2 linked regions of the Elephas maximus indicus genome follow. The protein of the gene in region 1 binds, or shares a complex with, the protein of each later gene. Links are inferred from orthologs where the notes say so. Each region holds a gene or a part of one and is shown on either strand. Other genes may lie near its edges. The genes, in order: FLT1 and VEGFB.

Region 1 (7,083 bases):
AGTTTGAGTCTATAGGGTCCCTAAGAGTCATGGGACTTTGGGTTATAAGAGTCTACAGTTACAGATCCTGCCAGACAATAAAGCGCTTGTGAAAAAGCCTTGAGGTTTTTAACCAATAGTAAATGGGGAAGGCATGCAGTGCTACAGAACAGGCTCCTTTGATCTTAAACTGCAGAAACAGAAGTGAAGTATCCCTGTCACAGCCCCCGGGGAGTAAAAGGAGTCCAGAGCGATGAGATACAGCTCTGAGCTAGGAGACACCCAGCCTCAGAAAGAAGCTAGAAGCACAAATTAATCAAAATGAGATCTTATAAACACAGCAGCGGCATCAGCCTCTGGGAGGGACCAGGGATCAGGGATGGGCTGAAGCAGGTGGAGCAGAATGAGGAGCAAGGGTGTACCTGGCTGGTGGCCCCTAAGAGATGCCATCAGTTGGGTGGGTGGTGCTCCTGAGTGTGGTACCCACTGCCCTCATCCTCGAGATCTCTAAGGGACGCTTCCCTCTGCTCTTCCTCCATCCTGGGTGTTCCCTCCATCTAAACTACTCTCCCTTCCTCTCTCACCTCCGGGCCTTCCCACCTGCTATTCTCTGTGCCCTGATGGGGCAAAAATCTCTAGGTGGAAGAAAATAGAGTTCTGTTGCATTTTCAATCCTGAGTATCTCACCTGTGGTGGTTGTTGTTGGGTGCCATTGATTCTGACTCATAGCAACCCCAGGTGACAGAAAAGACTTGCCCCATCGGGTTTTCTAGGCTATCATCTTTACTGGAGCGGATTGCCACGTTTGTCTCCCTCAGAGCCACTGGGTGGATTCAAACTACTAATCTTTTAGTTAGCAGCCAACCATTGAACCATTGTGCCACCAGGGCTCCTTCTCACCTGTGGGGAACCCGATAAACTGGAACCTGTGGAGAGGAATTTGAGGGGATTTCAGGAGCATGTCATTTGAGGAGCGATCAAAGCGGCAGGGATGTTGAGCCTGGAGAGGAGAAGATACATGGGGCCCAGAATATCTGCCTTCGGGTGTTGGATACATTTTCATGTGGAAATATCAGAGTTGGATGGCTACTGAACCTTATTTTAAAGGAAATCCATTGATTGGCTCAGTAGATGGGTTGAACTACTTTTAAGAAAACCCACTGTGGCACAGTTCTACTCTGACACACATGTGTTCACCATGAGTCAAAGTCAACTTGATGGCAACTGGTACCACGTATTTCCATTCTTTGGAAATGGAGACAATTTCTGCCATAGTCAGGTTGCCTTGAGCAAGATTTTGAAGCCAGTGAGTTATGAGCATCTGACTAATAAAACCATAAATATGCCCGTCTGGGTGTCTCAACACAATTTCCTACCACAGGTTTGAGTGAGGACACATGCTTCTTAGATAAGGGAGCTGGAACTGTCAAGAGCATATGTATTGGTGAGTTACTTTTCATATAACACAGAAGGGGTTTATAGATCACCTGGTATTTGTAACCGACCGTACATCTTTACACTGTGTGGTATGTATGAAGCTAACTAACCCATGAGGGGATGGAAATTGTCACTGACCCTCAGTGACTACGAGGTCAGTAGTTTCCCCCTTGGTCCACTGTGGGAAGATGAGGCCCTGGACTCCCTCCTGTCTCTCGCACTGATGTCCCAACACTCTTATTAGTCGGTCTTGAATATGAGAGCTGTTGGTTTTACCAATAGCGTACTTCTGAATAGGGACCAGAAAGAATTCTCAAGAGAATGTTTGCAGCTGATAACAAGAGAGAGTGTCTGGTTTTGCTACCAAGCTGGCAATGAAATGCTCTTTTGTATGTGAGCAGGAAGCAGATAGATAGTCGACCTCAATAGCTTTTTATACCTACCAGGCATGCTGAATTTGATCTTGTCCATCACTATTAGCTATAGAATTTCTTTCATCTGCAATTTAGTCAGAAGTGTGCTGTAGCCCATTCTCCGTCAATGGTATTATCTTTTGGGGGAGGAGTTTGAGAGCTATACCTTTATTCCCTAGCTCTAAGCTCTCTCACATAACCCTTTGACAATTTGTAGCATCTTGAGTTCTCTGTGAGGAGGCTAGTGAAACTTATCAAAAGAAGTAGTTAAAAAGAAAAGAAAAAAACATTGCTGACTATAGCAAAAGCCGACAACTTTTCAAAAGAAGAGTTGTGTGGAGGACCCCTCTCACTGCAGAAGGTTTCAGTGTAAATCTAGGTCAGATTGGACCTTGACTCTTTTAAACTTAAATACGGCACTATATTAAGCACTCAGCTGCAAACCAAAATTTGCCAAACCCACCATCCACTCCATGTGGCAGTCTGCTTCCATAGAGATTACAGCCTTGGAACCGCTATGGGGCAGTTCTCCTCTGTCCTATAGGGTCACTATAAGTCAGAGTTGACATGACAGCAACAGGAAAACTATCACTGACTAGCATCTTAGATGCTCACCTGCTTATAAAGATCTCTTCAACTGTCAACTACCTTCTTTGGGTTCACAAACACACTCAATGTACGTTCATTTCTGGCAGCAGGTTTAGAAAATGGGGTCTATGTGTTTTAAACAATCAAAACAGCATTTGAAAATACATGAAAACTTTATATGTTGTGCTGTGCAAGTGGGGAACTGAGAACCATTTCCCCCAGCAGCAGCTCAGGCATCACTTCTGAGGAGCCCTTCTGGAACTTTCCAGGCCCATCTTGGTGCCTTGTCTTCTCTTCTCTGCCCATCTTGTATACTCAGCACCCCTCCAGCATTGTAACTCTCCAGCCTCCTCAGCAGATCCTGAGCCCCTTGGTAGGCAGTGATCTCTTCTCATGTGAGTGTGTTCTACCCTAGCACAACGCCTGGCCCTTGTTAGGTTCTGGAGGACAACGCTGACAGCTTCTCCTTGGGACAGGGCGTAGGAGTGACCAGCAGCTCTGAAATGAGGCTGCCGGACCCCTTGGCTCTGGGGGTGGAAGGGGCTGTGCCCTGGGCTGGGTGAACAGTCGGGACAAGGATCAGGGGCTCAGCTTCCAGCTGTCCGATCAGTATTTATCAGCTGTACGCCAGATGATTGCATGGTTTTGGAGGAGAAAGTTTTGAGCAAGGCAGAGAAAAGGAGCCAGGGAGAACTGGGAGGGCAGTAGAGTGATGAGGAGCACTGAAAAAAACAAGAGAGATGGTCCCGTCAGAGGCTAGCGTTGATTGTCCAGTCTTCGCTTCTCCTGAACCACGAAAGCCTGTGGCTCAGGCGCCCGGAATGCAGGTGTGCAGACGTGCGTTCCCCGCACGGGGAGGCGGGTGGCTGGGGCATCAGCTCTGTCTGTGATGCCGGGACATGTGGCAACGTCAGGTTACCCAACCTTCCAGATACGGAGGTATGTAGTTCAGTCCTTCAGGGAGAATCGCCGGCTCCGTTTAGGAGCCACCAAGGTCCTTTTCATTAGGGTTGTCTGCCACGTTCCAATAAGAACTAATTCTTAAAGCAGTTTTTACAGAGACAAGACTGGGCTGCTCCGTGGAGCCCAGAGCCATTTCAGCCTTTGAGGTAGTGGAGACATAATTGAGGATCAACGTGGAATTAGTGTCATCGCAAATGATCTAGTGCCTCCAGTTCATGTCAACTGGTTTTGTTCAAAGAGCGGCACAGTCACTCATTTTGCGTAGAAAATTGCCACCCAGCAAGATTTCTTTGGTCAGAGCGATTAGAGAATAAAGTTCGAGTGCTCAGCCCTTGCAAGTTGCAAGAGTGGTTTCATGCTTCAGCTTTTTAAAAAGTATTAGGATGTTCTATTCCTTGTTTTGCTTCTAGGAAGCATGGGGTTGAGGAAATGACTTGGGCGGTTGCATCTTTGCGGCAGAAAAAGACACAAACTCGTTCCCCAGGGAGCACTCATCCCGTTGGGTCACCTCCGGGCGCTCCCGGTCAAGTCTCCCGTGTAGAGGGTCCCCGGCTTCGTCTTAGCCGTCTCGGGACGGTCTGGCGGGACTGGGGGCAGCAGGGCGGCGCAGCCAGAACCCGGCAGGAGAGAGCGCGCCTGTGGCTCCCTCCTTGTGCCCAGGACGCTGTCGCGCAGAGTTCCCTTGGAGCGGTTTGCAGGGGCGCTGCTCCGACTTTCCGCCCGCACCGGGGCGTGGGACGCCAGCCTCTCTGCCCTCCCCACTCCAGGCGGCCCCCGAGCTGAGTAAGCCGGGGGGGGGGGAGGGAGCCCTCAAGGATTTCCTGCCGGCGATGGCGGGGAGGGGGGAGCGGCGCGGCGGCCGGAGGGCCTGAACCTGCGGGGCCGCGCTCACGCTGCCGCGCTCCGCGGGCTACCCCGCCCTGGCGCCCCCGCCCCTGCGCGGAGCGGTCGGGAAGCAGCCCGGGAGGAAGAAGAGGGTAGGTGGGAGGCGGATGAGGGGTGGGGGACCCCTTGACGTCACGGGAGGAGGTGCCGGGGAGGAAGTGGGCCGGGGAAAGGTTATAAGCCGCCCCCGCCCTGCTCCTCAGAGTTGAGGTCCGCAGGAGACTCGGGGAGCGCGCGGCGGTCACTTCTCGCGCTCCTCCCGGCGGCAGCAGCGGCGGCGCGGAGCGGCTTCGGGCTTGGCTGCGAGGATTACCCACAGAGGGAGTTTGTCCCCCCGGCTGGAGCGACGACGACGGGCGCTCGGGGTGCAGGGCTGCAGCTCGAGGCCGGGCTCAGGCGGCGGGGTCGTGGGCCCGCGGGGAGCGCGGGCGCCGGGCGAACAGGCCGCATCGCGCTCACCATGGTCAGCTGCTGGGACACCGCGGTCCTGCTGTGCGCACTGCTCGGGGGGCTGGTTCTCGCAGGTGAGGCGCGCCGGGGGTCGAGTCCTGCTCGGGGAGGGCAGGGCCGGGGCCAGCGGGGAGGGGGGGCTGCAGCCGGGAGGGCGAGCCGCCGGGAACTTGGGAGACTAAACTGGTGCGGTCCCGCCTGCGGACGCGGCGCCCTCTCCTCCGCCGCGCGGCGGGCGCTGCGAGCGGACAGCGGCGGGGGGCCCGCCGGCATTGCAGCTCGCCCGGCCGCGGGCGCAGCGTCGGGTCCCACTGGGAGGGCTCGCCGGCCCCCAAAGCTGGCTCCCGGGCCGGAGCTCCTGGCGGGCACTCAGTCTGCGCCGGACGCCCTGTGCTGGGCTGCGGCGCCCTCCGGAGCCCGGGGAGCGGCGCCCGGAACGCCCCGAGGCTGCCGGACTGGGCTGAGCGCGCCGTTGGCGACATTGGTCATCGGCCACCATCTCGAGACAGAGAAGGGCAGAGCCAACTTGGAGGGGGCGCGTGCTGGCGGGAACCAGACGGATCCCAGGAGAGGGCAAGCACTGTGATCTCCCTCCCCGCAGCGGGAGCTTTTGGCAGCGCCTCCTCTTGCCTCCGCCGTGCAGAGCGAGCTGCGCGCAGCCGGCCGGTGGCGCTTTTGCCCGGAGCCGACGGGCACGCGGTGCAGCCAGGTCGCCGACGTGAGTGGCCCTGGACTGACGAGGGCGGCCGAGGACCCAGACACCGTTAGGTTTCGGAATTGCAAGCCTAGCCTTGGAATTCCGAGCTAAGAAAGGGCGGACGATGTGTGGACCAAAGATGCGGTCAGAGGATTCGGTGCGGTCCGCCCCGCTGCGGAGTCGGCCTTTGCGAGAAGACAGGGATAACCTGCGGCGGAGCCTCGGGGGTCAGGAGGCTATGCGAGCAGTTAGTGTGGAGGTGGCCCCACAGAGGGGTCAAAGCCTGAGAGGACTTAGAGACCCGGACTCGCCATCTCTGCCCAGCGGGGCAGACTGACGGTACCCTCGGGTCCAGTCCCCCTGGGCGCAGAGCCAGATTTCGGAGCACCTTTCTTTTTAAGCAACCTGGAGAAAGGTTAAATATGAAACAAGATACAGTATTATAAACTAAAATCAGTCATTGCAACGTTTCCCAGGAAGGAAAGTCAGTAGAGTTGAGCATATTAAAGAACAAACAAATAAAAAACTTGCTAAGTCTAGAAGGAAGAAAAAATTTGCGGTCGAGTTGATTCAACTCATAGCGACCCAGCAGGACAAAGTAGAACTGACTCATAGGATTTCCAAGGCTGTAACCGTTAAATGTCGTTTCTCAGTGGGAACACTCACCTGTATCATCAGTTTTTAAGGAACAAGTAAGAGTTCCAATTAAATTGGTGATCCCTTAAAGCCAGGAGATGGGGTCCAAATTGTGAAGCCTGAGAACTTGCTGTAGGTTTGGAAAGTTGCTCAAATAACGAAATGAAATATTGTATTTTCTATTTCACAGATGCGTTTGTGTTTTGAAGTCACTTACAGGGTCGCTATGAGTCGGAATCGACTCGAGGGCACTGGGGTTTTATATTGAAATACAATTGCTTAAGAATTTAGTAAACCTGCCAAAGCTATTTCCAGTATGTAAAGGTAAATTAATGCAAATCCAAAAAATGGGGTGAGGGAAATACTGTTTTACTGGAGTTTCTGTTTCACACACATACAACTTTATTTTTCTTTCAAGAAACATGGTTCTCTCTCTGATTATCCAACTTTATTGTTTTTTAAACTTTTTTTACAAATTTCTGTATTCGTTGTGGCGGTTTTTGTACTGAGAAATACATTAATGTTTTCGTGGTGGCTACCTTTTTTACCTATGGTCAGTTTTTAGAAATGCTCTACAGATTCTAGAATATATTTTCACTATAATTTGTCAATATCGATAGTAAATATTTATTAAGGCACCCTTAATAGGATTTTAAATACAATGTTCGGATCTCAAAAAAAAAAAAAAGTGGTTGGCTTCACTGAATAGAAGCAACTTTAATCTGTGGAAATTTTTCCAAAATGTAGGTGGGAGCTTCTTGGTGATTTCGCTTAGATTTTATTTTACTAAAATGGGGCAAGATTTAAAAGAAATCTTGGCACTCTTGTAATTTTTTAAAAAATGCTCGTGTGCATAGACAGGAAGAAAGGGGAGCCAACAGTGCCGAGGTGATGGCCCTTTTCCTCGGGCAGCTTAGGGAGTTTGCAATTGCAAAGCCTGCCTTTGCAAACTTAAACTGCAGGTGTCTTAGCTGATTAGCAACTGTCTCAGACAGTAAAACCATCAGCTACCTGCTTTCCGGCTTACAAACAGAA
Region 2 (7,833 bases), on another chromosome or scaffold:
TCCGTTGTCAGAGGCGGGGACAGGTCCAGGACCCTAGATTCTGGTCCTGGGCAAGGAGGCCCCACCCGCCCCAGGGTTCCCCGGGTTTACTTCAGTTTTCCTTGGCAAGAAAACGGGGCCAGGTCCCTTCTCGGAGTACTTGAAGTCCGGCCCCGTCCTGGTCTCCATGCATTCCTCTCTGTGGCCTCCTTTCCCCAGCTGCCCGCCCGCCATCATGCCGCCCCTGCTGCCCCTGCTGCCCCTGCGCCTGTGCCAGCTGTGGCGCCGCAGCCCCCCCACCCGGCTCCTTGGAGCGGCCGCCGGGCAGCGGTGAGTTGGGGGCCAGAAGCCAGGCCCAGTCGTTCAGTGGGTTTTTGTTGAGAATCTACCGAGCTCTGGGCCCTGCCCTCGATGCTCGGATAGTTGGGTCTCCACCCTGTGCCAGGTGCCTTACAGGCTAATCTCAGGTAACCCTCACCCTCACTGCTGAGGACCCTGAGGATCAGAGATTAAGGGACGACCCCAAGGTTGTACAGCGAGTTAAGTGGCAGACTTGGCATCTGTTCAACCCGATGTGCTTTCCACAACACTAGTAGTCATTGACCATCACTGCACATAAGCCACCTGGAGGGTAGGGGGAGTTGCAAAAATGTGGATTCCTGGGCCCAGCCCTAGAGATTCTGATCTGGAGGAACAAGGTGGGTCTCAGGAATCTGGTTTTTTAACAAGGTCTTTAGGTGTTTCTGCTGCAGAGGGTCTGAGGACCACAATCGGAATAGTCCTGATTTGTACGCCTTCAACACTCAAAAAGGGAGGAGGGATTTGGAGCTATGTCTGTGTTGGGACCTGCCTCAGCCCCTGAGCCTCGAGGAGTGGGGGTTGGAGCCTTCAAAGAGGCCTGGTGTCCACCTGGGGTACTGGGCCAGAGGGGGACCCCAGATCCCTCAGGGCTTCACTCTGGAACCACAAGGTCTCATGAGGGAATGTCTTTATCCCAAGGGAGAGGGCTAGGGATCTGCTCAGCCCCCCACCGTGTCTCCCTGGGAAGCGTACAGTGCAGAGGGCTCTGAAGCTCAGGAACCCTGGGCAAGCTCAGGAGGGAGACATGAGGGCTGGATGTCTGGGTCTCCCTGCCCAGTTGAATCAAAGAGTGGGCATGGCCAGAGAGGATGGGAGGAGCAAGGAGGGGGTATCCTCTCGGTTCCCTCAGCCCCTGCAGGTTCGGGCCTCTCTCCTCAGGTCTGGCCCCAGTAACTACTATGAATTGCTAGGGGTGCATCCTGGTGCCAGCCCTGAAGAAATTAAACGAGCTTTCTTCACCAAGTCCAAAGAGGTACCCATGCTCATAAGGGGGTGGAAAGGGAAGTCTGAGTCAGCTAGGGATATGCTCCAAACTCCTAGGAACGGAGGTGGGGTAGAATTGTGTCCCTAGCTGGTGCCACATCCCCTTAGCCTGCAAGGTAAGGAGTGGGAGTGCCCAAAGAGGGGGAATCTGGACCAGGTGGGAGGGAAGGTTGGGGTAGGAGCCAGTGGTCCTCTCTAAGGGGCTGGGCATGGTTCTTTTGATTTGCCTGCCCACTGTTGACTTAAAAGGCCTGGATGAGGGCATATGGTGAGAGTAGGGGCTGGCAGAGAGGGATGGCCCGAACACGGTGAGGGCAAGTCTGTGCTTCCTCACTCTGGCCGTCCAGAGGGCAGGCAGGCTTGAATTCAAGGGTCGCTTACCAGCTAGGCCTCTCAGAGTGATTGAGCCCTTGTGGGTGGACATCATTGAGGTGGGTCCTGGGAGAAGGGGCATGGAAAGGGAGATGAGGGGAGTCCTGTCCCACACCAGCTGCACCCCGACCGGGACCCTGGGAACCCGGCCCTGCACAACCGCTTTGTGGAGCTGAATGAGGCATACCATGTGCTCAGCCATGAGCAGAGCCGCCGCAGCTACGACCACCAGCTCCGCTGGTCAAGCCCCTTAAAGTCTCCAGGGACCACAGCCCATCCTGGACCTGCCCACCAAGCACGCAGGTACACCAGTCCTGCCCCCAGCTCATCCCTCCAGGTCTCCTGGGCAGCCTCATCCCCACACTGTATCTCCCTCTCTTTCCCAGCAGCTCCTGGGCACCTCCCAACGCACAGTACTGGGCCCAGTTCCACCGCGTGAGGCCACAGGGGCCTGAGGCGAGGCAGCAGCAGCACAGACACAACCAGCGGGTGCTGGGGTATTGCTTTCTGCTCATGCTGGCAGGCATGGGCCTGCACTATGTCGCCTTCAGGTGCACTCTGGCTCCTTGGGTAGTGGGCATGGGCGGGAGGGCAGGAGAGACTGTGAGCTCAGTAGGCTCTCCCCGTGGCCCCCATGGCCGACGCTCTTGTGTTCCTCAAGCTAAGAACTTCATTAAACCCCATCTCTGGAGCCTCTTCTTACTTGGCAGAAGCAGAGGCACTAATGGCTAACGTTGTCATTTTCTGTTTTTCATAATTTGAACGTAATTCTTTGGTGCCAGCTGCCAAGCAGCACTGGAGCAAACCCAAATCGTGAACAAGAAGCAAAGGCCCAAACCTCATGGGATTTGGTTCCTTGGTTTTTGAGGTTTAGGGTCATGATTTTATGAGACATCCCAGTTAATAGGCCTAATACCGTGTTTAGTGCTTCTGGTCTATTGTGTAGTGGCTGGAGTCTTAAAAGCTTGCAAGCAGCCATCCAGGGCACAACAATTGGTCTCTATGCACCTGGAGCAACAGAGGTGGGAAGGAGAGTCAGGAACAGGAGGAGGAAGTGGAATGTGTGGCTAATTGCCTTCATGAACAATGGTCTCCTTTGCCATGAACCCAGAAGAGCTGAATGGTGCCCAGCTACCATTACTAAACATTTTGATCAAAGATTCCATAGAAGAATCCTGATCAAAAGGAGAAAATACAGGACAGAATTTCAAATTCTCATGGACTCTGGACTTTCTGGAGCCATGGAGGCTGGATGAACCCCTGAAACTACTGCCCTGATATCATCTTTAAACCTTAAACCAAAAATATTCCCAGAAGTCATCTTAAAACCAAACAATAGTTTAGCTTAACTGGTAAAAAAGGTCTGCCTTGAACATTATGCTCTTTAAAGAGCTCTCTCTATGGGATCAGACTGAAAACAGCAACTCGAAAGATCAGATGGGAACCTTAGGGGGCAGCAAGTGTGTGTTAATGAGGGAGGAACAACTTAGAGAAGGTGGGTGAGAATGGTTGTACAACTCGAAGGGTGTAATCCATGTCACTCAGTTGTACATGTGGAAACTGTTCAATTGCTGTATGTTTTGCTATGCATTTTCTCAACAACAAGGAAGTAAATAAAATTTAGAGAAGAAAAAAAAAAAGAAAAAGCAGTCTGTGGACCAGAACCAGAGCATGAACTGTTTGCTACCAATGAGATGAAGGTATGGTAAGCATTTAGAAACTTTTATAGTGATTTGGAATAGTAATTTTATGTATGTTCAATCTAATAATTTAAAATAAGGCTTATATTCTGTTAAAAAAAAGAGTTGAAGAAGAAACAAGTCATCTTCACTGGTCCTCACCCACACCATCCTCACTCAGTCAGTCTGCCGGTTCCCGGCCACTCCTGCTTCCAGGCACACCAGTACCATGGCGGTGATTTTCTACAGCAAAGATACCCATAGGCTGGTACCCACAGCTAGCAGCCTGTCTGGTTCAGGGATAGGGTTAGAGGCACAATCCTGTGTAGCCTCCTGCCAGGATCAAGCCGATGTCCAGAGTTCCTGTCACTAACTTCAGCAGAACGGCCAGGGACCTGGGTCACCATTGGACCCTGGACAAGCCGTGGCACATTGTTTCCCTTCCCCACATACACAGGCTAAGGTCCCACATATGTAAAGCCATGAGACCCCAGGGTGAGGTGGAGGGGAGCAGGACTTGGGGGGCAGCAGGGATAGGGAACCCAGGGTTAATAGTAAACCCCTTGCAGGAAGCTGGAGCAGATGCACCGTAGCTTCATGGATGAAAAGGACCGGATCATCACTGCCATCTACAACGACACGCGGGCCCGGGCCAGGTCTGTCCCTGCCCTACCCTGCCCCTTCCTCACCGCCTTGGCACCACCCTCCCTGCCCCAGCCAACGGGTGCTCTCTCTTCAGGGCCAACAGAGCCAGGCTCCAGCAGGAGCGACTGCAGAGACAGCAGCCGCCGCTGCCAGGGCCTCCCCAGGACCCTGGGATGGTGCCCAGAGGCGCTGACCCGTGAGGGGCCGCCTGGACGGGGCCTGCAGTGTGTCCCCTCCTTGCCTTCCTCCCAGGGCTCCCCACTCCCCAAAACGCGTGCAATAAAGTCATTTTCAGCTCTAGTATCTGGCTGCCTCCTTCAGCCCAAGCCCCCCGCCAGGGCCTCGCCTTGGGGCTGCGCCCCGCCCTCGGGTTCTGGCGGCGGCAACCCAGGAGCCCGGCCCCCTGGGCGGTGCGTCCCCTTTCCCCTGCTGCAGCGGGAGGGGGCGTGTGGAGGGCGGACCCCGCAGCCCCCGCCCCGCCCCCGCCCCACGGCCCGGTGGGGAGCTCGTTGTCTGGGTCACATGAGCCGCCCGCCCGCCAGCCCGGGCCCGGCCCCCCGCCGCCCCAGCCGTCCCCGCCGTTGCCCGCTGCCGGCCGCCCGCCCGTCTGGCTCCTCCGGCCGCCGCCGCTGCGCTGCGCTGCGCTGCCTGCGCCTAGGGCTCGGGAGGGGGCCGCGGAGGAGTCGCCCCCGGTGCCCGGCCCCCGCCCGCCGCGCCCGGGCCCGCGCCATGGGGCTGTGGCTGCCACCGCCCCCCGCGCCACCGGGCTAGGGCAATGCGGGCGTCCCCGGCGCGCGGCCCTCGTGGGCACCATGGGCCCCCTGCTCCGCCGCCTGCTGCTCGCCGCGCTCCTGCAGCTGGCCCCCGCCCAGGTACGTGCGGCCCTGCAGCCCGCTGCCTGCCGTGCCCTCTCAAGGTTGGCGGAAGTGGGGAGGCGCGTGCCTCGGCTGAGGGAGCTGCGGGGTCCTCCTTGGACCGGGGCATTGCCGGGCCAGAGCATCCCCCGGGAGGCGCCCCTCCTGCCGCCTCAGCCTTGGGGCCACTCCCCCACCGCACCCCGTCCCACCCGTCCCCTGGGCGCAGTCGGGGGCGGAGCCACTTCGGTGCCTGCAGGACCTGGTTTCGGCGCCCACTGTGTCCCCTCCTGACCTGCTGCCTCCAGCACAAGGCCAACCGCGAGGCTTGGAGATTCGACGCCGCCTGCAGAGCGCGCAAGGCGGGTCTTGGGCCAGGGCAGGTCCCAGGTGGCCAGGAGAGGACAGGTAAAGCTAGAGCCATGGCCCCAGGAACAAAGCAATCTGGGAAGATGTCAGACCTTGAGGACAGAACCCTGGACAGCAACGGGGCCAGCCCTTCCTAGAGCCCTCCCTGGGTCCAAGGGGTGTCCCCCACCTCAGGCCTCTTGTCTCCCACAGGCCCCTGCCTCCCAGCCTGATGTCCCTGGCCACCAAAAGAAAGGTAATAATAGTAACAGTAACTTGGTAAGAGCCAGCACAAAGTGGGTTTGCCACATGCCCTGATTCTGAGTACCTTGTTGCTGTCATCTTGTGTCATCACAACTGTCCTGTAAGATGCCAAATCTTATTGTGCCCATTTCACAGAGGATAGCATTGAGGCTGTGGGGTTCCTGGGTTCTGGAGACAGGGCAGGGGAAGACAAGTTGGAAGGGCAGGTGGAGGCCAGCTGTGACATGGAGACTGGGGAGAAGAGCTGCTGGGGTGGGGGGCAGGGGAACCAGGGAGCAGCTGCAGGAAACCCCGTGGGGACTTAACCCTTACCGGTCTGCCCCCAGTGGTGTCATGGATCGATGTATATGCCCGTGCCACCTGCCAGCCTCGGGAGGTGGTAGTGCCCCTGACAGTGGAGCTCATGGGCACTGTGGCCAAGCAACTGGTGCCCAGCTGCGTAACTGTGCACCGCTGTGGTGGCTGCTGTCCTGACGACGGCCTGGAGTGCGTGCCTACTGGGCAACACCAAGTCCGAATGCAGGTACCAGGGCAGGTGGAGTGTGCCTGGCTTGGGTGGACACTGGGGCACAGGGAGGGGTGGGGACCATGGGCCTGCCTGTTGGACAGGCTGTTTTCCCTCCAGCCCTTGGAGTGTCCCCTTTGGCTTTCACGCCCACTGTCTTACCTGTCCTCCTCCTCCCGAGCACAGATCCTCGTGATCCGGTACCCTAGCAGTCAGCTGGGGGAGATGTCCCTGGAGGAGCACAGCCAGTGTGAATGCAGGTGCCAGCCAGGCCCACCTTCTGCACTCACAGACACCAGGCTTGAGGGGTGATGGGTGTATGGCACCTGGGGGTGGGGACCGGGTTTCTGGGAGTAGAGCCAGGCTAGGCCTGGGATCTGGGGCAAGAGAGTGGGGTGCTTGAATTTCCTGATCCTCCCTCTCCTTGTCTCTGTCTCTCTTACCTTTCAGACCCAAAAAAAGAGAGAGTGCTGGGAAGCCAGACAGGTGAGCCTTTCCAGCTCCTGCTGAGGTGGAGTTGGAGCCCAGGATGGGTGGGGTGCGTGGAGTAGAGGCTATACAAGTGTGTCAGGAAGCTGTGGTCCCCTCCCTCTTTCTCCTCCCACTTGTCCCCCCTCCCCTTTCCATCTGCTCCCGAGTCAAGTCGTGTGCTCTGGGGTCTGACCTGACCCCAGCTCCCGGAAGCTGGAAGCCTCTTTCTTCCTGCCCCAGACATGTTGCTTCTCCTCCTAGGGCTTCCACTCCCCACCACCGCCCCCAGCCCCGCTCCATTCCGGGCTGGGACTCTGTCCCCGGAGCACCCTCCCCAGCTGACATCACCCATCCCACTCCAGCCCCAGGCCCCTCTGCCCACGCTGCACCCAGCGCCGCCAGCGCCCTGACCCCCAGACCTGCCACTGCCGCTGCCGACGCCGCAGCTTCCTCCGTTGCCAAGGGCGGGGCTTAGAGCTCAACCCAGACACCTGCAGGTGAGGGGCTTGCGGGCTGGGTCTTTTGGGAAGGCCTCAGGCCCGGTCCTGGAGCAGGTCCAGCATGCGTCTGCCAGTGGGAGGAGAGCCAGGGAAGTGAAAGCTGTTGAATGTGTTGAACAAGTATTTCCCAAGTGTCTGCTGCATCGTGATGAGCGTATACAAGGCTAATGCTCTAAGGTGGGAGTTGGGAGTTGGATGCGAGGACAGATCGTGCTAGCAGTGGAGGTTGAGAGCTGTGGTGAGGGCCACCTGAGCCCATCTTTGAGAGGTCAGAGAAGTTCTCCTTGAGGAGGTGACATTTGACTAGAGATGAAGGAGACAACCTCTCCCAGTTTGCAAAGCTCTGGGCTTCCCAGAAGCCCCTGTGGTAGACATATGGCCCACATCATGGGTACCAAGAGGCCAGGGGATGTGGTGGGACCCAGTCTGCCGCCCTTTTCTGAGGTGCTCTCACCCCTTCTCCACTCCACAGGCAAGCCATGGGGTGTCGTCATTAGGACCAGACCAGTTGGGGCTTACCAGGAGTGTTAGGCGAGAATGGGATTCACTGAGAGTAACAAGGGGTGAGTAAAGAGGAGCTGGGGCTGAGCTCCAGCTGGTGTAAACAGACCCCTCCCCTCTTCAGGTGCCGGAAGCTGCGAAGGTGACACATTGCTTTTCGGACTCAGCAGGGCCACTTGCCTCACAGGCCACACCCCAGAAGGGGACAAGAGGGGAGCCTGATGAGGACACTCCAGCCCTCAAAACCTCAGCCAGGGCAGACGTTGCTCCAGGACCTGGGCCTCTCAGGGGGCTCTCCTGCTGTCCCTTGTGCCCCCGAGGCCACCGTCCAGTTGGGTGGGCACAGTTGGGCAAGAAGACTTGGAGGCATC

What was found.
Region 2: the proteins of FLT1 (region 1) and VEGFB are in contact, whole or in part, in a crystal structure (PDB 2XAC), measured with the Homo sapiens proteins. The link is inferred for Elephas maximus indicus from reciprocal best matches to the Homo sapiens genes FLT1 and VEGFB. Residues at the interface, in NP_002010.2 of Homo sapiens: Tyr139, Glu141, Pro143, Phe172, Pro173, Tyr199, Ile202, Gly203, Leu204, Asn219, Leu221, Arg224, Thr226; in NP_003368.1 of Homo sapiens: Ser37, Trp38, Ile39, Tyr42, Thr43, Thr46, Cys47, Gln48, Pro83, Asp84, Asp85, Gly86, Leu87, Cys124, Arg125, Pro126.

The regions. Positions count from the first base shown.
Region 1 is NC_064841.1:60,817,717-60,824,799, reverse strand, and holds the start of FLT1 (vascular endothelial growth factor receptor 1), read left to right. Parts: upstream 1-3,967; 5' UTR 3,968-4,163; intron 4,164-4,239; exon of another isoform or gene 4,240-4,357; intron 4,358-4,468; 5' UTR 4,469-4,725; coding exon 4,726-4,789; intron 4,790-7,083. UniProt on the Homo sapiens protein: Tyrosine-protein kinase that acts as a cell-surface receptor for VEGFA, VEGFB and PGF, and plays an essential role in the development of embryonic vasculature, the regulation of angiogenesis, cell survival, cell migration, macrophage function, chemotaxis, and cancer cell invasion.
Region 2 is NC_064825.1:127,414,240-127,422,072, forward strand, and holds the start of VEGFB (vascular endothelial growth factor B), read left to right. Parts: upstream 1-4,574; 5' UTR 4,575-4,794; coding exon of another isoform or gene 4,795-4,831; coding exon 4,832-4,891; coding exon of another isoform or gene 4,892-5,281; intron 5,282-5,434; coding exon 5,435-5,477; exon of another isoform or gene 5,478-5,797; intron 5,798-5,811; coding exon 5,812-6,008; intron 6,009-6,176; coding exon 6,177-6,250; intron 6,251-6,440; coding exon 6,441-6,476; intron 6,477-6,722; coding exon 6,723-6,936; coding exon of another isoform or gene 6,937-6,958; intron 6,959-7,586; coding exon of another isoform or gene 7,587-7,608; 3' UTR 7,609-7,833. Other genes in the region: DNAJC4 (dnaJ homolog subfamily C member 4), read left to right, coding at 1,085-1,312, 1,814-1,998, 2,082-2,246, 3,944-4,030, 4,114-4,219. UniProt on the Homo sapiens protein: Growth factor for endothelial cells. VEGF-B167 binds heparin and neuropilin-1 whereas the binding to neuropilin-1 of VEGF-B186 is regulated by proteolysis.